Arabidopsis thaliana: one gene and its partners. The protein of the gene in region 2 purifies or fractionates together with the protein of the main gene of each other region. This does not show direct contact. Each region holds a gene or a part of one and is shown on either strand. Other genes may lie near its edges. The genes, in order: HA1, BI1 and VHA-A.

Region 1 (8,017 bases), on a different chromosome or scaffold from region 2:
TGATTATTTGGATGTTGGTTTTATATTTCCTTGTTATAAAAACAAAGAATATGACGAATAAATTTAACTTTTTGAAATCCTAAAAAAAAAAGCATACACATTTAAATAAATACTTTTATGTATTTACCTATGAAAGTTAAATTGATTTTGTCTATCAGATACATAAATGATCAAATAATAAATGAGAAAAACCTGCCCATATGTGCCGATATATATCCAGTTGAATTAAACCATCATCTTCTTGTTTCTTTGTTTTTAAAATTCTCTTATGAAATCGATCTTTTAGATAAAATACAATCGAATTTATGGAAGCAAGAAAAAAAAATTACGTAGGGGAGGTGTATTATTGGGGGACCCAGCACGATCAAAAAGTCAATATTCATCAGCCAATTTGCTGAATAAATAAATAAATAACCTTGAAAACAATTTTTGGTTAAATTACAAAAATAATGATATCCACAAACATGTGAATTGTTCCAGCAATTGCTGACCTTGCCATGAGGCACCTTGGAAGAGCCATTGCTTCATTACAATCCTTTAAAGCCATAAATATGAGATTAGGATTACCAAAATTTCACATATAACAAATTGTTTTATATCATTACTAGCTTAATATGTGTTTTATTATAGTTTTAGATCGACGTCATCTGAATATTTTCCCCCAAACTCCTAAATTTTATAATCTGTGTCTAAACCTAATTTTATATTTCAAAACATCCCTTTTTCTGGAAGAAACTTGTCTTTTAATTTTTTTTTTTTTTTTCACACTTGTCTTTTAATTTCCTTAAGAGACCAAATCAAGTTAATTTAGTGTACTCACCACCTTTAAAACAGGTCAAGTTAATTTATTTGAACATCAGTAATAAATTTATGAACATCTCTTTTCAACATCGGTATTCTTAAATAGTGTTTTAGAATCGTCATTTTAACTTTATGTTTCACTAAACTTAGAAAATATTTAGTTTTTTTTATCTCAATTAGTAATTATCATTTAAATTTTTATTTTCTCGGTTTCTACTTCGCCACTATTATTTAACATATTATTAAACAAATTAGTATTATACGGGTTGATTTTAATTTTCCAATTACAAATTAATTAAAATTCAACTTTTTGATTGGTTGTATAATCCGAAGGAAAAATGTTTACATACGAATTGTTTTAAAAACACTTTGATTTAAAAGTCCGACCTAAACAATCAACATGAAAATTAAACTTATGAGCAAATTAGGTTGATCTAGAAAATAACTTTTGCATTTGTCTCATAGGGAATTATAAAGTTAGTATCTACACACATATATCAAATATACATGTTATATCTATATTACTCTCTCTCTCTCTCTCTCTCTCTCTCTATATATATATATATATATATATATGTATATTCACAAATCCATGTATGTATTTTAAATTTTGTTTGTTTTTTTTTTCCTTCAAAATGAGTAACTTATATAGAAGTCATTAAGATTAGCTTTGCACAACTCTTTGGGAACAAAAAAGAACCCAAATTTTAAGCATTATTCAATGTTCATATAATTATTATGTATATTATTTTTCCTTATTGATTATCAATTTTATATACACAAAAAGATATCAGTGAAGAACTTATGATTGTGCATATTTTCTGTCCATACATAACCACAATATTAATCAAAAATTTAAATTTATCTTAGATATTTTTCTTATGATAATTCAATACTGTATAATTTTTTAAAATCTATACATTACAGTTTTGTCTTTTAAATCATATTCTAATATGCATAAATATCTAGAAAAATACTAACTCCATAGAATTAAATTTCTTATGTAAGTTTAGTATATTATCCTAAATTTGTGTTAATGTTAAGATTTCTACTAAATTTGATACTCAAAAGTAAAAAGTTTCTCTTAATAGAAAAAAATAAATATAGATTCTCTTACATTACAGGATCAGAGTATAAAACCAGTTTAAGTAAACAATGTTTCAAAAAACAGTATGATATCTGAAATTTTAATTATAAAACCAAAAATCCAAAGTCAAATATACGTTTTCCAAGTGAGAAAGGACCCATAAACAATTAACAACCATTGATGATCACCAAATCATAATCAACGGTCGAAATGAATGAAAAATAAAAGTCTGAAACGGTGGAGAGTTTCGTCGTTTTGAGTGGTTATAAAAAGAGAAGGCGTATATCTCCTCTGCAACAGAAGCTCGCTTTCTCTCTCTCTCTCTCGTGTGTGTGTGTGTGATCGAGTGGTGAAACGACAGAGAGGGGCGTCGTTTTGTTGATTTCTTCTGGGTGAAGATGTCAGGTCTCGAAGATATCAAGAACGAGACCGTTGATCTGGTATTATTTCGATTCTCTTCTCGCTTAAATTCTTCGAGTTTTTAATTTCATTTTTAGTGTTTATTCATCATGCCCACAAAGTGTTCGATGATTTGCTTGAATGAGAAATAGATCTGTTTCGTTGTTGTTCCTTGCATGGTTTCACGTTTGATTCTTTTACCCTTTTTTCTTCAAATCATTTTCCGATGATTCTACTCCTTTTTTCTTTGATCGAAAACTGAATCTTAATTCCTCAAGAACCCGAAAAATCCGCAAAAAAAAAAAAAACCGATTTTTCCCCCCAATTGTATCTGCCTCATTTTCGATGATTCTATCATGGATCCTATACAAAACCCAAATCAAGATTCCAACTTTATTAATTTTGGTCTAAAATTAGGGTAAAATAACAGATGTCTTTTAAAGGTTTTAGGTATTAAGCCAAAAATAAGTAGATTTTGATACTGTTCATCAGAAAAAGTAGATCTACCCAAAAACTACACACATGTGAAACGCTGAATAAAAAGATAAGTCTTTTTAGTGGTGGAGCTAAGCTTAAGCTACGTCTCAACAAAAGTCTCTTTCACATATTTATTAAAAGAGAAAAAAATCGCAAAAAGTTTGATTTTGCTTGTGATATATAACTTTCTTTCTCTAAAAAAAATCATCTTTTTTTTGTAAAGATAACGTTTTTGATGTTAAAGCAGTTCATAATATTCTTCTATCTTCCACCCATGAAAAATACCAGAGTTTTTAATAAATTTAAGTTTTCAACTTTTTTTTAAATTGTTGTTGATGTTCGAATTTTTTTGATGTACCTTTCCGTAGTACGTTTTTTTTTTTTTTGAACTTCTTTGTCCTTTTGTAAAACATCTATCAGTAGAAGCAACTTGTGAATTCCTCTATTGTAATTGATTTTGTTTAGTGAAATTGTTTTATGACCGAAATACCCTTAACCGGACTTTGGCTTTCACGCCGGAAAGTAGCCACCTTTCATGGAGGGAATCCCGCAGGCGCGTGTGTTACACGTTCCATAACACGTGCATTGAAGTAGTAGTAGTAGTGGTGGTGGTGGTGGTGGTCCCTCTATCCTCCACTGCCAGATTCTTTTCACCTTTCATTGTCACAACTTGAGTCAACGCCACTCTTCATCTTCCGAGTCGCCGAGTTGGATCGTTTCTGACATTTGTAAAAAGATTTCAAAACTAGAAAAGTTTTTGTCTTTTTTACCCTTTTGTTCTTGTTTGATGTTTGAGTTACTATTGTTTGGGTTCTGATCAAAACTTTTGCTTTGATTCTCAGGAAAAAATTCCGATTGAGGAAGTTTTCCAGCAGCTAAAATGTACAAGGGAAGGATTGACAACGCAGGAAGGGGAAGACAGGATTGTGATATTTGGCCCCAACAAGCTCGAAGAGAAGAAGGTTTGAGTTTGACTTAGCATTGTTGTTTTATCATCATTGAAAGCTTTGGTTTTGTTTAACTCACGAGGTTGATCTTTCGTAAAAAAATATCAGGAAAGCAAAATTCTGAAGTTTCTGGGGTTCATGTGGAATCCGCTTTCATGGGTTATGGAAGCTGCAGCTCTCATGGCCATTGCTTTGGCTAATGGTGATAATCGACCTCCGGATTGGCAAGATTTTGTGGGTATTATCTGTCTGCTTGTTATCAACTCCACAATCAGTTTCATTGAAGAAAACAACGCCGGAAATGCTGCAGCTGCTCTCATGGCTGGTCTTGCTCCTAAAACCAAGGTAATATGTTGGTGGATGCTGTGACATTACTGTACAAGATATTTCGAGACTTCTAGAGAGCTTAACCTGTTTCTCTGTTTTCAGGTTCTTAGGGATGGAAAATGGAGTGAACAAGAGGCTGCTATCCTTGTCCCAGGTGATATTGTTAGCATTAAACTTGGAGACATTATCCCAGCCGATGCCCGTCTTCTTGAAGGAGATCCTTTAAAGGTTGATCAGTCTGCTCTAACTGGAGAGTCCCTTCCTGTGACCAAGCACCCTGGTCAAGAAGTTTTCTCTGGTTCAACTTGTAAACAAGGAGAAATCGAAGCGGTTGTTATAGCCACTGGAGTTCACACCTTCTTTGGTAAAGCTGCTCACCTTGTGGACAGCACTAACCAAGTTGGGCACTTCCAGAAAGTTCTTACATCCATTGGAAACTTCTGTATCTGTTCTATTGCTATTGGTATAGCGATTGAAATAGTCGTCATGTACCCTATCCAACACCGAAAGTACAGAGATGGAATTGACAATCTCTTGGTCCTCTTGATCGGTGGTATCCCCATTGCTATGCCCACGGTCTTGTCTGTGACTATGGCTATCGGGTCTCACAGGTTGTCTCAGCAAGGTGCTATCACCAAACGTATGACAGCCATTGAAGAAATGGCGGGAATGGATGTCCTTTGCAGTGACAAAACCGGGACACTAACCCTTAATAAATTGAGTGTGGATAAAAACTTGGTTGAGGTTTTCTGCAAGGGTGTGGAGAAAGATCAAGTTCTACTATTTGCAGCTATGGCTTCTAGGGTGGAGAACCAGGACGCTATTGATGCAGCCATGGTTGGAATGCTTGCTGATCCGAAAGAGGTATAACTCTAATCATTTTGAATTACTTCTTTAGTTTAGTGAAAGGTCGAGAAAACAAGTTCTTAATTTCTTATGTTTCACTTGGATTTTCATAGGCCCGAGCTGGAATCAGAGAGGTTCACTTCCTTCCATTCAACCCTGTGGATAAGAGAACTGCTTTGACTTACATCGACTCTGATGGTAACTGGCACAGAGTCAGCAAAGGTGCTCCCGAGCAGGTGATGAATCTTCAACTTTCTCCTAAAGATGTTGCGTTTTTCCTTTATTCTGTGTACTAATTCGATTCTCCCACACAGATCCTTGACCTTGCCAATGCCAGGCCTGACCTTAGGAAGAAGGTACTCTCTTGTATTGACAAGTACGCTGAGCGCGGTCTTAGGTCGTTGGCAGTAGCTCGTCAGGTACTTTTTTACAAGCAATTTTTACATTGGTCTTATTTGGGTTTTTTTTTTGGCCTGTAAATCAACTGTTTAATTGCATATTCCTTTTTAGGTGGTACCCGAGAAAACAAAAGAAAGCCCAGGTGGACCATGGGAATTTGTTGGCTTGTTGCCTCTTTTTGACCCTCCAAGACACGACAGTGCCGAAACCATTCGTAGGGCGTTGAATCTAGGTGTTAATGTGAAGATGATCACTGGTAACTATTCTTATTCATCATTTTTTTCCCATGAAATCCATGGTTATTTAGATGTTTTCCCCTAACTTGCGCTCTAACTACGTTGCCAGGTGATCAACTTGCTATTGGTAAGGAAACCGGTCGCAGGCTTGGAATGGGAACCAATATGTATCCATCTGCGGCTCTTCTCGGTACCGACAAGGACTCGAACATTGCATCCATCCCTGTTGAGGAGTTGATCGAGAAGGCTGATGGGTTTGCCGGCGTCTTTCCAGGTTATGCCTTGCTTTCAGTTTCAAACCTCATCACATGTTCATTATAAAGTTTTGTTATATTGATCCAAGGTTCTTATGGTTACTGATTGCAGAGCACAAATATGAAATTGTGAAAAAGCTGCAGGAGAGGAAGCACATTGTTGGTATGACCGGTGATGGTGTTAATGATGCACCCGCTTTGAAGAAAGCAGATATCGGTATTGCTGTGGCCGATGCTACAGATGCTGCTCGTGGTGCTTCAGATATCGTCCTCACGGAACCTGGGCTGAGTGTCATCATCAGTGCCGTTCTCACTAGCAGAGCTATCTTCCAGAGAATGAAGAACTACACCGTGCGTATTCTTAATCTCACTCTAATATATTATGCCCACCACTTGTGTTCGTTTGCGCTGGAAACTAATAATTTTAGTTTCCTGCTTGTGACAGATTTATGCAGTCTCAATCACAATCCGTATTGTGGTAAGTAGAAACCCGTTTTACAAATCTATCACTTGTTTAGCATGATTTTACTTTTTGTATACTGATCATATTGCGTTGTAACTCTTGCAGTTTGGTTTCATGCTTATTGCTTTGATATGGGAATTTGACTTCTCAGCGTTCATGGTTCTGATTATTGCCATCCTTAATGATGGTGAGCAAATAACATCCTACTTTTCTAGACAGCGTCCTCACTCGTTATCAGCTATATCTTATGGTATTATGTGTTACTACCTTTTAGGTACTATCATGACAATCTCAAAGGACAGAGTCAAGCCATCTCCCACACCTGATAGCTGGAAGCTCAAAGAAATTTTCGCCACTGGAATTGTGCTGGGAGGCTACCAAGCCATTATGAGTGTTATTTTCTTCTGGGCTGCTCACAAGACCGACTTTTTCTCGGTACATCATCAGTTTATTTTCATTTCTTTTCTCTTTTTTTTGGTACAGGTGCTTCAGGGACTATATAGATATATATGGCCAGGCCTTTTGCTCTGAGTCTTAAAAAATTGTCTCACCTTCGATTTGCAGGACAAGTTCGGTGTGAGGTCAATCAGGGACAATAACGATGAACTAATGGGTGCTGTGTATCTACAAGTTAGTATCATCAGTCAAGCTCTAATCTTTGTCACCAGGTCAAGGAGTTGGTCATTTGTCGAACGTCCTGGGGCGCTTCTGATGATTGCATTCGTCATTGCACAACTGGTAAGGACATCAAGCACACATATTTTCTGAACTTCGATTAGGTTAAAGAAACCCACTGAATTCATTCACTCCTTCCAAATGCAGGTTGCAACTTTGATCGCAGTGTATGCCGACTGGACATTTGCAAAGGTGAAGGGTATCGGTTGGGGATGGGCAGGTGTGATTTGGATTTACAGTATCGTAACATACTTCCCACAGGACATTTTGAAGTTTGCCATTCGGTATATCTTGAGTGGAAAGGCTTGGGCCAGCTTGTTTGACAACAGGGTACATACAAGTCTATCTACCACTATAGAGACCTCTTTTACAAGCTGATGGTAACATACTAATCACATCTTCTTCTATGTTAACAGACCGCTTTCACAACCAAGAAAGATTACGGTATTGGAGAAAGAGAAGCTCAATGGGCACAAGCTCAAAGGACATTGCACGGTCTGCAGCCAAAAGAAGATGTTAATATCTTCCCAGAGAAAGGAAGTTACAGAGAGCTGTCTGAGATCGCAGAGCAAGCCAAGAGAAGGGCCGAGATAGCTAGGTAAGTAGTGTGATTAAAACGAATCTCAACGGAAAGATGCCATTTGATAGAGGTTCTGATTGGTGAATGATTTAATATTATGTTGTGACAGGCTTAGGGAGCTTCACACATTGAAGGGACATGTGGAATCAGTCGCAAAGCTAAAGGGATTGGACATTGATACAGCAGGACATCACTACACTGTGTAGTTGGAGTTGCACAACAACACAAACATTTACCGAAAACCAACCCCATCATGACTCATCTTTTGTTTTGTCTTCACAAATCTCTCTTTAAAAGTCATTACAGTAGAGGGAAGAGAACTCTTGTGTATTGCCATAACTCTTCCAAAACTCTTTTTTCTTTTTGTTATTGTTAGTCATTGTTCTTAAAACTCCTACTCGATATGAGCTTTGCAAATTTGCCTTTGAAGAAACAAGGCCCTTTGCCTTTGAAGAGACAAGGCACTTTGCTTTTTAATGGCCTAATGTGATTATTCTATCACTCTTTTGTCTGTTTGATCAATTTC
Region 2 (4,380 bases):
TCCTTGCTGTTTCCTAGAAAAAAAAAGGAACTAATGCAAGAATTTACGGTTCCAATTTCCCTAGTTCTTTTAAAAAATCAAACAAAGAAAAAACAGAGATGTAATTGTTTTATTCAAATATTTTGTTCTCGTTTTTGGCTTCATTTCCTTCTGTTACATCTATTAAGTATTAACAGAACTTCTAGGGGTTGGTTCATGTTTTGCATTTCTGGCCAGTGATTTTTAATTTTCTTTTCTTTTAGATCCTTTTGCAAGTTGCAATCATGTTATCATGGATTGCAAAAGGAGTGTATCAAAAACCCAATTGAAAATGCTACACACGTTAATGTGCTAATCCTAGATTGCCTTGGACCAGAAGTCAGAACATATGCAAGTATATAACTAGTATTGTCTCCATCGTCGGTTTGTCGGATGGATTCAAACTTAAGATCGGGTCATGAGCTCCGAGGTCTAGACTCTATGCAAAACATAACGTCGTTTTTAAAGTGAGAAGGAAAATCTGATGTATATTCCTTGCCATTTGCCGTACCACAACATTCTATTGGGAACAAATTTTGACAAAAAGCTCCAACCAGACGTTTGACAAAAGGCTAAACGCCATTTATTTGCAATTTTCAAATCCACGTTTCACGAGAATGCAGGTTTTTACACACTTATCATGGAAATTGCAAGTTATTTTTCGATTACAACTTCCAAGCAATAGCAAATGTTGCAACTGTGAGAATCTGAAATGCACACATTTTAGAAAATTTAAACAGGATTATCATTTTCCTACATTATTCTTAGCTTGGTAAGATGCAATCAGTAGAACCAAACTCTTAAAGAACAAAAGTTTATGAAAAGAAGAACAACACTCGAGTCATTTACAATCTGAAGATGGTACTTGTGCAGAAGTGAAACAAGCAGATCCTTTTTAGTGGAAACATGTCTGGTCACCAATAGAGAGTGCTAACAAGTAATATCTTCAAAGTGGCCACACACGATAACAACCATAAAGTTAAATTTACTTTACATCCCCTCAGTTTCTCCTTTTCTTCTTCTTCTCTTCTTTATCTGCTGAGTTCTTCAACTGCATAACAAAAGAGTCCGTCAATGACGGTTTACTAACAAATAAAGTGTACCATTTTCTTATACCAGCGACAAATGAACTTACCATTATGATGAGAATCCGAACAAACACAGCTACAAAGTCAGTGAAAAGGGTCAACGAATGTTTTACATAGTCCATGTCACCGAGGTGTGCCTTTTCTATAATCTCTTGTGTGTCCACCACCATGTATCCCACAAAGATCAAAAGTCCAAAGTACAACTGCAACCAGAGACGTATTCATAACAATGGTGAGATGTCTGAGAAAGTAAGACAAAGAACAGATCATTCTAAAACAGAGGCATTCGGTTTACCTCAAACTTAAAGATAGATGCAGAGCCACCAAAGATTGAAGAGGCAAACTGGAGCCACATTAGCATAGACAAGCCAGATGAAAGCAGTCCTCCAAGGTAGAGATACTCCCTGCGTCTTGCTAACATTGCTGCTGCTGAGAAACAGACAAACGCTATCGCAGTTCCAACAAATGCAGTGATAAGGATGCTGGAGAACCAAAAGAAAGATATAAAGGTCAGCTCCTAGAATAGTCTAACAGAAAATTAACATTGAACAACAAGAATCAAATTGCATAACCATAACACACCTTGGGTCAACATCAATTGCCACTTTGATCAAGGGGCCAACAGAAGCACCTTCAAGAACAGCAGACACAAACAGAAGAGAAAGCCTTTTTTGCTGCATCAAAACAAACAACAATGTCAGGAAAACGAAACTTTAGTACAATAAGAAAGCAGCCAATTCACTATTGGGTTGGGTAAATCGAGCCCACGTACGTGTTCATAAGGAGGACATGAAAGGAGCCAAATCATAGTTCCAATACATCCAATCGTTGTAAGAATACCGCCGATATTCCAGAGCACATGGAGGTAAGCTCCAAAGGCAGACGCCACAAGAGCACAACATAAGGTCAAATAAACCTACAAAGATTCCACCACAAATAATAAGAACCAATGAGCATTTGTAACATGAGTGAGTATACAAATCACATTCCCTTCTGCAAATGGAACATGACAAATGAACAAGAGGATCTTAACAATAATAAGCAGAGTAAAGTATAACGAAAGATCTCCACAGAATCATAATCAAGTAAGTATCAACAAACTAAATCATGGAAAGACCCAATTAGAAACCCTAGATAAAGTACGATCGCAACGATTCGTTCAACGGAAACCAAATCATAGAAATTAGATGAAATATAGAAACATAGAGCGATCAATAGCACGAAAACGAAACGAATCTCAATCTATCGACTCTAATCTAGACATCGCGGTTTGGTGTGTGATATGAATAGACATCGGCGGCGAAGAAACTTACCCGTTTAAGATGATTCTGAACGGCTGGAGAAATCTGACGGAAGTTTTTAAGAGAATCATAGCTCCAGCTTCTGCTACCAGGTTGAGAATCGAAGAAGGAAGAGAACGCATCCATTGTTTCGTTTTTTTTGCTTGACTTTGAGAATCGATTAATGAAAATATTAGTTAGAAAATAAAGACTTTCGTTATTTATAATGGGCCTTATGATTGGGGACTAAATTGACAATAATACCCTTACTGCTTATGTGTAGTTATTACGCATTCGCTACACGTGTAGGGGCATTAAACACGGAGAAGGGTAGTTCTGGAAACTTCTTGAACGTTGAGATCGTCGTCGTCGTAATGAGTTGAAACTTTGCCGCGAAGCAAATGAAATATCTAAATCGTCATCTAACCAATAAGAATCATCCACGTGGATTTTTCACTTAGTTTACATATTATTGTTTAAGCTTAGGAATAAATTTGTTTTAGTTTTGTGATAAAGTATTTTGGATAACAGTATTTATTAATTTACAAAGACTTTTCTATAATCTTTCTCTATTATTTTCAGTTGCATCAAAAGTTTAACAAACTAATAAAGAAAAGACCAAGGACATTTTCATATCGTCTAGTCAATTCGTAAATCATGGGTCGAGAGTATGGTTAAATGTCAGGTTTTGAATTCTAGTTCTATATGGGCTGATCGCAAAGCCCATTAACAGTCTCGTTTATCTTTCTATTTTTGCTTACAGAAAACATCACGTAGTTTCTTCCTTAAACTGAATTAAAAAAGGAAAACGACATACAATCCAAGTTTCTAACGATAACAACATCTCTTTCACTTCCTTCATAGCTCATTTCAAACCACACATTCAAACTAACTCTGCAAAAAAAAAAAAAACTCAGAGCAGAGGAGATCGAGAGAGACAAAGAGAGAGAGAGAGAGAGAGAGAGATCTTAACAAAAAAATGTCTATATCCATGGCGTTATTCTCTCCGCCGATCTCTTCCTCACTTCAGAACCCTAATCTCATCCCCAAGATCTCAACCTCTCTTCTCTCCACCAAGCGTTTCTCTCTAATCTCCGTCCCTAGAGCTTCCTCCGACAATGGTACGACTTCCCCCGTCGTGGAGATTCCGAAGCCTGCTTCTGTGGCTGTAGAGGAAGTTCCAGTTAAATCTCCAGCCGAAAGCTCCTCCGCTTCTGAAAACGGCGCCGTTGGAGGTGAAGCGACTGATTCGAGTACTGAGACGGTAATCAAATATCAGAATGCGAAGTGGGTTAATGGAACTTGGGATCTGAAACAGTTCGAGAAAGATGGCAAAACTGATTGGGATTCTGTTATCGTTTCTGGTTAGATCCTTTTAAAACTTCAGTTCAGTACAGATTCTTTGAATACTTGATATATGTCTATGCTTTGTTATTAGGAAGATTCTGCTTTGGTTTCTTATAGTGGTGTGTAAGAAGAGGAGTGTTTGTTGTGTAAATGTGTTGATTATGTATTTTTATAGAGGCAAAGAGGAGAAAATGGCTTGAAGATAACCCGGAAACAACGAGTAACGACGAGCTTGTTGTCTTCGATACTTCGATTATTCCATGGTGGGCATGGATGAAGAGATACCATCTACCTGAAGCTGAACTTCTCAATGGTGATTTTCAAAACACTTATGATCTAACACTTAGATATAGTACACTTAACATTTTGTGCATCTAAGTTGTTGTCTTGGTGGTGTAGGTCGTGCTGCGATGATAGGGTTCTTCATGGCTTACTTTGTTGATAGTCTTACCGGAGTAGGACTTGTTGATCAAATGGGAAATTTCTTCTGCAAAACACTCTTGTTTGTGGCTGTAGCTGGAGTTCTCTTCATCCGTAAGAATGAAGATTTAGACAAACTTAAGGATCTGTTCGATGAGACTACGTTATATGACAAACAATGGCAAGCTGCATGGAAAGAGCCAGATTCATCAACAGTTTCTTCAAAG
Region 3 (7,357 bases), on a different chromosome or scaffold from region 2:
TAGTCTAACAAAGCTCAATCAAATATTTGATCAGAAGTAATGAAATTGTTATACCAGAGACACTCACAAGGCCCTTTGTGAAATGAGTTTGAATAGCCTTATCATAGATTTCTTCAAAATAGTACTTGACCCAGCTTATAGCTGTGACGTGGCCGCCGCTATCTCCATCGTCGCCGTCAGCTCCGGCGTTTTTGCCAGGTAATGGATGACCGGGAAATGGCGGCAGGGATATCAGCTGACGTGGCAGTGGTCCTTGCTTCGGTGGTCCCAGGTGTGCTACGTTGTTTGTCACGCGGATCACCGAAGACGGCGGCGGAGCGACTCTCGAGTACCGCCGTATTAGTACGGTCAAGTAAATCTGACGGAAGCATGTCTTGGCCTTCCACATGGGGGTTTATCAGAAGACCGGAGGACTCTGTGTCTAGGGTCAGAATGCTGAATGCCGGCGGTTCTTCTTCGCGCGCTACGGCCGAGGAAGACGAAGAGAGAAAGAACGCGACGGGGAAAGCCAATTTGGGCCTGTTGGGCTTTCAATTCTTACTAATTGACTCGTCGATCCAACTCGGTCGTGCTAAATAAATTCATGGGTCATATCACAGACTTGCTCATGAAATTAGTACAACTAAATTATTTTGTGATTTTAAATTTTCCTCTTCAATTACCGATTTATTATGTTTACACCACCAAACCATAAAATGAAAAAAAAATTACAAAATGATGGTATTTATTATGAGAAAAATAACGGTATCCCCAATATGTTTTTGGACATAAAATTAACTTATTGAATTGAGAGGGTACATCAAATCAAATATATGACTCACATTGGCTGTACCTTATTACCACCGAAATAAAAACATGAAAACAACGAATCAAACATATTACACAGCACAGCACAGCCGGAGAATCATGACGCTCACAGAGCTAAAACTCAATCGATCGACCAAACCGATAAATAAAATACCGACCACTATGATAGTTGTTGGTTCAAAAACACAAGAAAGAGACCATGAATGAAACCCTCTTTCTCCAAAAACAACCCAATTCTGTGGATTTTTTTTACTTGCGGTGGAGACTCGACAGCTTACCGAGTTTCATCTTCCAAAGCACGGAATCCAGCATTGAGATCGTCGTACAATTTCTTGAATTTTTCCACCAGTGTATCCTCCCCTTCTGCTGGGTCTTCGAACTTCTGAGACCTGTAGTTCCCATAATTCCGTTTCAGACCATTTTATTAGAGCGCTATGTAACAGAGTCATAGAGAAATCGAGGAGAAGCAAGTCGTTTGCTTACACTAAACGGTAGAAAAGATCTCCTAAGCGATGCTTGATAAGAGTGTAGGTAATCTTTTGACCGTCCATTCCAGCTGCTCTCTCAACCGCCTGTGTATCCAAAACAATTAATGGGTTTTTACCTAGACAAACCAATTGACCTTAATCCCCACTTAGCATAGTATGTATAAATCTCATCTTATTTACCTGGTTGGCTAGGTTGTAGAAATGGATAATGTTACGCATCATCCACACGGACTTGTAGAAAGGACAGAATTTGTCATATCTGTCAAAAAATTCATCCAAAAGGTTCAAGAGTGAATAACCCGTTGAGAGAGAAAGAGAGAGTACTAAACCAAAACGAAGGGAGCCAACAAATCTTACGGTGTAAACGCGTTTTGAGCAAGGTAATCTTCCCTCAATAGCTTAGCTGTTTCCAATGTGATTTTGTCCCCTTCTGCTAGCGCATCTTTTCCTACAAGCTGCACACAAAAAGCAATGTGTGGGTCAAATAAGTTCCTTTCGAAAAGAATAACGTGCTAGCACTGTTTTCCTTCTATAACTCAAGTCAAGTTTACATGCCAAGATTATCGTTCAACCCCTTCAAAATGTATTAGGGTTGCTGAGACAAGAGTTCATTGGTCACCACAATAGATACTTATACAAGGATAAGTGATACATACCTGGACAATTTCATTAAGATCGTCTTCCCTCTGCAACACCTCTCTGGCCTTTGTCCTGATGTTGATGAAATCTGGATCGAACTTCTCATAGAAAGATTCCAGTGCCTAAAACAAAAAGCAGCGTTTTATATACAAGATTTCTAGATAGTAAACCAAGACAAGTTTGAACCGAGAATATTTAAGCATACCGTTGAATACTTTGAGTAAGAAATCAACCAATTAACAGAGGGAAAATGTTTTCTCTGGGCAAGCTTTTTGTCCAAACCCCAGAAGACCTGCAGAAGAAAAGAGAAACAACCAGAATGGAAGAGTAAGCATTTCAAAGTGGAGAAAAAAAATGCTTAAATATACGAGTCTGCGGCAGATCTAAAACTAAACACCATCTGGTTCATCTCAACCAACATATACGACTATGTAATCTACAATGGAAGATAGGGAAGCAGACATGAACCAAATAATCACCTGCACAATACTAAGGGTTGCTGAAGTCACAGGATCTGAAAAGTCTCCTCCAGGAGGCGAAACTGCACCAACAATTGTAACACTTCCGTTACGTTCTGGTCCACCAAGACATTTTACTTTACCAGCACGTTCATAGAAAGATGCTAAACGTGCTGCTAGATAGGCTGGATATCCACTGTCAGCAGGCATTTCAGCCTATAAAACAAAGCAAAATAGGTGTCAATAAACTGAGAAAAAGAAAAGTGAGATGAGGACAACACGAACATCCATATAGCAAAAGTGAAACGCATAAGATTACCAGCCGTCCTGAAATTTCTCTTAATGCTTCTGCCCAACGGGAAGTTGAGTCTGCCATCATACTAACATTGTAGCCCATATCTCTAAAATATTCAGCGATTGTGATTCCTGGAATTCACATTAAAAAAAAAAAAAAAAAATGAGCATAGGCAATGGGATTCATCAATAACTATTAAATCTGTGTGCCTGAACATTACCTGTGTAAATTGAGGCTTCACGAGCAGCCACAGGCATGTTAGAGGTGTTAGCAACAAGTGTGGTACGTTTCATGACAGATTCCTCACGGCCATCAGGCAACGTCATTGTCAATTGTGGGAAGTCCATAAGAACCTAATTTATGAGAAACAATCAGATCAAATGTCCGATTTGTATGAACAATATGCAAATTTAGAATGAGAAGAGATATACCTCAGCCATTTCATTTCCTCTCTCTCCACAACCAACATACACAACAGCATCAGAGTTGGAGTACTATGTAAATAAGAAAAAGTTAGCTTTGGAAATTCAATCTATCCAGTAATTAAATGGAACAAAACCAGAGAGTGTCACAAGGTACCTTGGAAAGTGCCTGACTGATAACAGTTTTCCCACAGCCAAAAGCACCAGGAATGGCACAGGTTCCACCAAGAACAGAAGGGAAAAGGGCATCAAGAACACGCTGACAACAGGAAAAGAAAGCAATCAGCAACACATGTATTCAAATGACTATCACCACTGTAAGAAGAATTAATCGAGTAATCACCTGCCCCGTAAGTAGAGGAGTATCGGCAGCAAGCTTTGATGCAACTGGCCTAGGCGTACGTACAGGCCAGCTCTGACATATATCAACCAAACCAATTTAACAGAGTGAACCAAATAGCTTAAAATTTACGTTTGCAAGTAGGAAGATTAAAGATACATGCAAACCTGAAGCATGGTGTAAGATTTCTTGATCCCCTGGAATTCAAGCTCTATCACGGTATCCTGAGAAATGAAAATCACCGACAAACAATTATTAGCAACAAGCCAAACATGATCTACAACAGGAAGTGATTACCAATTGATCAAGTTAGCCATATATTAACTCAAACGTTGAATTCAAAGAAATCAAGGAAGAAAAAGTTTGAAACGTATTTATTCATAACTGTTTGAGGGAAACTTAAAGTCAAACCTTAAGCGAATATTGACCAGCTGGAGCAATGTAAGTGATCTTCCCCATGGCATCCGGAGGAAGGGCAACGAGGTGATTCATCAAAGTGTTCTCAAAGACAGTCTGCATTCCAAAGTTTAATTTGACTTTCAGAAAAAACTATTCCCAGTGTAAACAAGGGAAACACCACGGTAACTGTGTAAATAGATTCCCTTGTCAAAAGCAGATTAAAGAGGAGACCAATAAACTTACAGCATACAAGTCACCACCAGTTATTGTGTCTCCCTCGACTGCAAACAAAACGAATTCAATTGACCATCAAGATTAAAACCAAATGAACACTTCCATAGACAGGCATATGGAGTAAACCACATTACCAAATTTATTGGGCTGGAACTCCCAAAGACAATCTTTGTCAAGAGCTGGAACAGACACACCCCGAGGAATGTACACATCACCGGATATTCTTGCAATAGTCTTCAAAGGCCTCTGTGACATTTAAAGAAATGAAACCAAAGAATCGTAAGAAGCCACATAAAACGAATCATAAAAGTAAAAAAAATCATGTCTAGCAAGATTATAAATCCAACTGAACCTGAATTCCATCAAAGATATTTCCCAATATTCCTGGCCCGAGCTCCACAGAAAGTGGCTGTAGTAAATTCAGGACAAATTATATGTTAGCTGCAGATGAACAACACTAGAAAAAACCAAGATAAATAACTCGCGAACCTTGTGTGTTCGAAGAACGGGATCATTAACTGTCAATCCAGCTGTTTCCTCGTAAACTGATCAAAAGGAAGTTGCCAAATATCAGTTAAGATATCTTACTTCGACAGAGGTCACATAAGATGCCGTAAAGTAAATTACACTAGGAAGCACAATAGAAGAAACAAACCTTGGATGGTGGCAGAATCTCCTTCAAGACGGATGATTTCACCAATCAAATTATCATGACCAACACGCACTAACTCATACATAGCAGCACCGGCCATACCATCGGCAACAACAACAGGACCTGAAACCTGCATCCCATAAAAGAAAATGTCAAATCACTGAGAACTATCAGATCAGATCAGAAATTCAAAGACGAGGTTACTGAACCAACGCGGAATCAACCGATTCAATCACTGATAACTATCAGATCAAATCTAGCTATCCCACCAATCTTACCTGGTAAGCAGATCAACTATTTCATCTATCCATCACCAAAAACTAACATCGCAAAACAGAAAAAAAAACAAATTGAAACCAGATCGAACGAAACAGGATAATACCTTACGAACGTAACCATACTCGCTCTCCTTCTCATCGTCCTCGAAGGTCGTAAGCTTTCCTCCGTAAAACGCCGGCATTTTCTCAGCAATCAGAGATTCAAAAACTCAAATCCGATCGGCCAAAAAAATCAAAATTCACCTCCTAGAAAATGCCGAGATCCGATCAAACAACAACAACAACAAATCAGAAATCGCCAAAATCAGACAACTCTTAAGGTTTTTCAAAGAGAGCGATACAATAAATCAGAAAGAAACAAAAAGGATCAGAGAGAGAGGGATAGAGATCTCCTAACCAGTGAACAGACAGGAAGAGTGGTCACAAGAAGAAGAAGAGAGAGGTGGATGCACGTAGATAGATATTGAAAGAGTTGGAGAAGTTTTGATCTGATTGACGAAATCGTGGAGTGATCCGGTACATGACTACACACGATACGCGCGTAGATCTGGACTTTGTCGTTAATAGCCACGTGACAGTTTATTTATTGGGCTTTATAATATATACTTACGGCCCAATAAGTGGGTCCGTTTAGTCAACAAAGACATGCGGCTTGAGAATCTCTCTCTCTCTCTGATCAAGCCGGAAAATTCACAAAAGTGATCAGTTTTGTTTTCTCGGGGAAATTTTCTGAAAGTGAAGAAAGGGAAAGCAAGTTTTTTTTGAAGTGGGGAGAGAGATGGGAGAAATGGGGAAGGCGATGGGATTGCTGATTAGCGGGACGCTTGTGTATTACCATTGTGCATATCGTAACGCGACTCTTCTCTCTCTCTTCTCCGATGTTTTCATTGTTCTCTTATGCTCTCTCGCCATTCTCGGTCTCCTTTTTCGCCAACTCAATGTCTCGTAAGTTCCCTCACATTTTTCGCCTAAATCTCTCTGGTTACGGTATTGGATTTTGTTCTTTGGTCTCTGATTTAGTCATTTGCTGTTTGGTGACCGAGTAGATACGAAATTTGTTGGCTCCTTTGATTTGTGACAAGTTTGAATACTTGCTCGATATAATTGTTTAATTGGGTTGTACTTTGTAATGTGGTTGTGCAATCAGTTATGTTAACTTGATTATGAAATTGATTTCATGTATTCTCTGAAGGCATGAACTGAAACTAGTTCTCATTGTATTTCTGGGTGAATCAATGATGCATCGATCTTATTTGATTACTATCATCTTCCGTTCTCTGTGATCAATGCATAGTCATAATCCTAGAATGTTCAATGATATCATTATCTTCTGCTCATTGTGTGTATAACTCTTCAAGACCCTTGCTTTATCATACCACATGATTTACAATCCTATAACTTTTCTAAAGGGTACCAGTGGATCCACTAGAGTGGCAAATATCACAGGACACAGCAAGTAACATCGTTGCACGCTTAGCTAATACCGTTGGAGCAGCAGAGGGTGTTCTGAGGGTTGCAGCAACTGGACATGACAAGAGACTTTTTGTCAAGGTAAGTGTGTCCTTTGTTACCAACTTACTATGTACAAGATACCGTTACTATTCTTGGATCATGAGTGTATCAAAATGCATTAGCATCAATATATCACCACAGAGATTCTCTTAGAACCCTAGTGTCTTTACCCAGTTACCATATAAATGCATTGCTAATTGTTAACTCAGTAATTGTGCTCTATACTGAATATGTTTGTTTTTTGCTTTTTCCTTTAGGTCGTAATTTGCCTTTACTTCTTATCAGCGCTTGGGCGACTCATATCAGGTGTAACCGTTGCTTATGCAGGTAAAGCATTCACATTTCATCTCAAATTTATACAGAGTTTCATTTTAATGTGGAAGAGTGTAGTATTTCATTGAATTTTAAAGCATTCACATTTTGTCTCAAACTTATACAAAGTTCATTCTAATGTGGAAGAGTGTGCTCTTACCTTATAAGTAGCATTTCATGGAATTATAAAGCATTCACATTTTGTCTCAAACTTATACAAAGTTTCATTTTAATGTGGAAGAGTGAGCTGTTACCTTATGAGTAGCATTACATACCAATATGTCGGATTTCTTAGCATTTAACAAAAGTTGGCCATTTGGGAAACCCTTCGTCTTGCCTGTGTCAAATATTGCAAACCAATGATCTCTGACTAGTTCTTCTCCCTGAAACAGGACTATGCTTGTTCTGTCTCTCCATGCTCTGTCAGACTTCTCAATCTCTTGGAAACTGTGTACTAAAGCGAGGAAATGGCCAGATTTTAGAACAAGAAGCACATTCTGATACATAATATGTCTAGCTTT

Evidence for each region.
Region 1: the proteins of BI1 (region 2) and HA1 purify together in Arabidopsis thaliana (affinity purification with western blotting, with the first as the bait; one study listed by BioGRID). This does not show direct contact.
Region 3: the proteins of BI1 (region 2) and VHA-A purify together in Arabidopsis thaliana (affinity purification with western blotting, with the first as the bait; one study listed by BioGRID). This does not show direct contact.

Annotation. Positions count from the first base shown.
Region 1 is NC_003071.7:8,219,572-8,227,588, forward strand, and holds the start of HA1 (H[+]-ATPase 1), read left to right. Parts: upstream 1-1,942; 5' UTR 1,943-2,286; coding exon 2,287-2,328; intron 2,329-2,581; exon of another isoform or gene 2,582-3,606; coding exon 3,607-3,726; intron 3,727-3,819; coding exon 3,820-4,056; intron 4,057-4,140; coding exon 4,141-4,902; intron 4,903-4,997; coding exon 4,998-5,120; intron 5,121-5,198; coding exon 5,199-5,303; intron 5,304-5,394; coding exon 5,395-5,539; intron 5,540-5,628; coding exon 5,629-5,793; intron 5,794-5,885; coding exon 5,886-6,124; intron 6,125-6,218; coding exon 6,219-6,251; intron 6,252-6,341; coding exon 6,342-6,423; intron 6,424-6,510; coding exon 6,511-6,671; intron 6,672-6,800; coding exon 6,801-6,974; intron 6,975-7,058; coding exon 7,059-7,241; intron 7,242-7,327; coding exon 7,328-7,509; intron 7,510-7,600; coding exon 7,601-7,697; 3' UTR 7,698-8,017. UniProt on the Arabidopsis thaliana protein: The plasma membrane H(+) ATPase of plants and fungi generates a proton gradient that drives the active transport of nutrients by H(+)-symport. The resulting external acidification and/or internal alkinization may mediate growth responses.
Region 2 is NC_003076.8:19,134,224-19,138,603, reverse strand, and holds BI1 (BAX inhibitor 1), read right to left. Parts: upstream 2,653-4,380; 5' UTR 2,534-2,652; coding exon 2,420-2,533; intron 2,023-2,419; coding exon 1,879-2,022; intron 1,781-1,878; coding exon 1,689-1,780; intron 1,589-1,688; coding exon 1,402-1,588; intron 1,310-1,401; coding exon 1,154-1,309; intron 1,070-1,153; coding exon 1,019-1,069; 3' UTR 579-1,018; downstream 1-578. Other genes in the region: LIL3:2 (Chlorophyll A-B binding family protein), read left to right, coding at 3,366-3,750, 3,909-4,046, 4,133-4,380. UniProt on the Arabidopsis thaliana protein: Suppressor of apoptosis. Modulator of endoplasmic reticulum stress-mediated programmed cell death. Involved in methyl jasmonate-induced leaf senescence through regulating cytoplasmic calcium level.
Region 3 is NC_003070.9:29,658,300-29,665,656, reverse strand, and holds VHA-A (vacuolar ATP synthase subunit A), read right to left. Parts: upstream 5,570-7,357; 5' UTR 5,410-5,569; exon of another isoform or gene 5,259-5,409; 5' UTR 5,195-5,258; coding exon 5,117-5,194; intron 4,865-5,116; coding exon 4,738-4,864; intron 4,628-4,737; coding exon 4,572-4,627; intron 4,492-4,571; coding exon 4,435-4,491; intron 4,329-4,434; coding exon 4,217-4,328; intron 4,130-4,216; coding exon 4,092-4,129; intron 3,963-4,091; coding exon 3,861-3,962; intron 3,674-3,860; coding exon 3,617-3,673; intron 3,525-3,616; coding exon 3,453-3,524; intron 3,369-3,452; coding exon 3,267-3,368; intron 3,182-3,266; coding exon 3,119-3,181; intron 3,041-3,118; coding exon 2,908-3,040; intron 2,819-2,907; coding exon 2,712-2,818; intron 2,609-2,711; coding exon 2,414-2,608; intron 2,227-2,413; coding exon 2,140-2,226; intron 2,057-2,139; coding exon 1,952-2,056; intron 1,751-1,951; coding exon 1,653-1,750; intron 1,555-1,652; coding exon 1,476-1,554; intron 1,380-1,475; and 5 more. Other genes in the region: AT1G78910 (Pseudouridine synthase family protein), read right to left, coding at 68-388; AT1G78895 (Reticulon family protein), read left to right, coding at 5,791-5,957, 6,422-6,563, 6,782-6,851, 7,229-7,344. UniProt on the Arabidopsis thaliana protein: Catalytic subunit of the peripheral V1 complex of vacuolar ATPase. V-ATPase vacuolar ATPase is responsible for acidifying a variety of intracellular compartments in eukaryotic cells.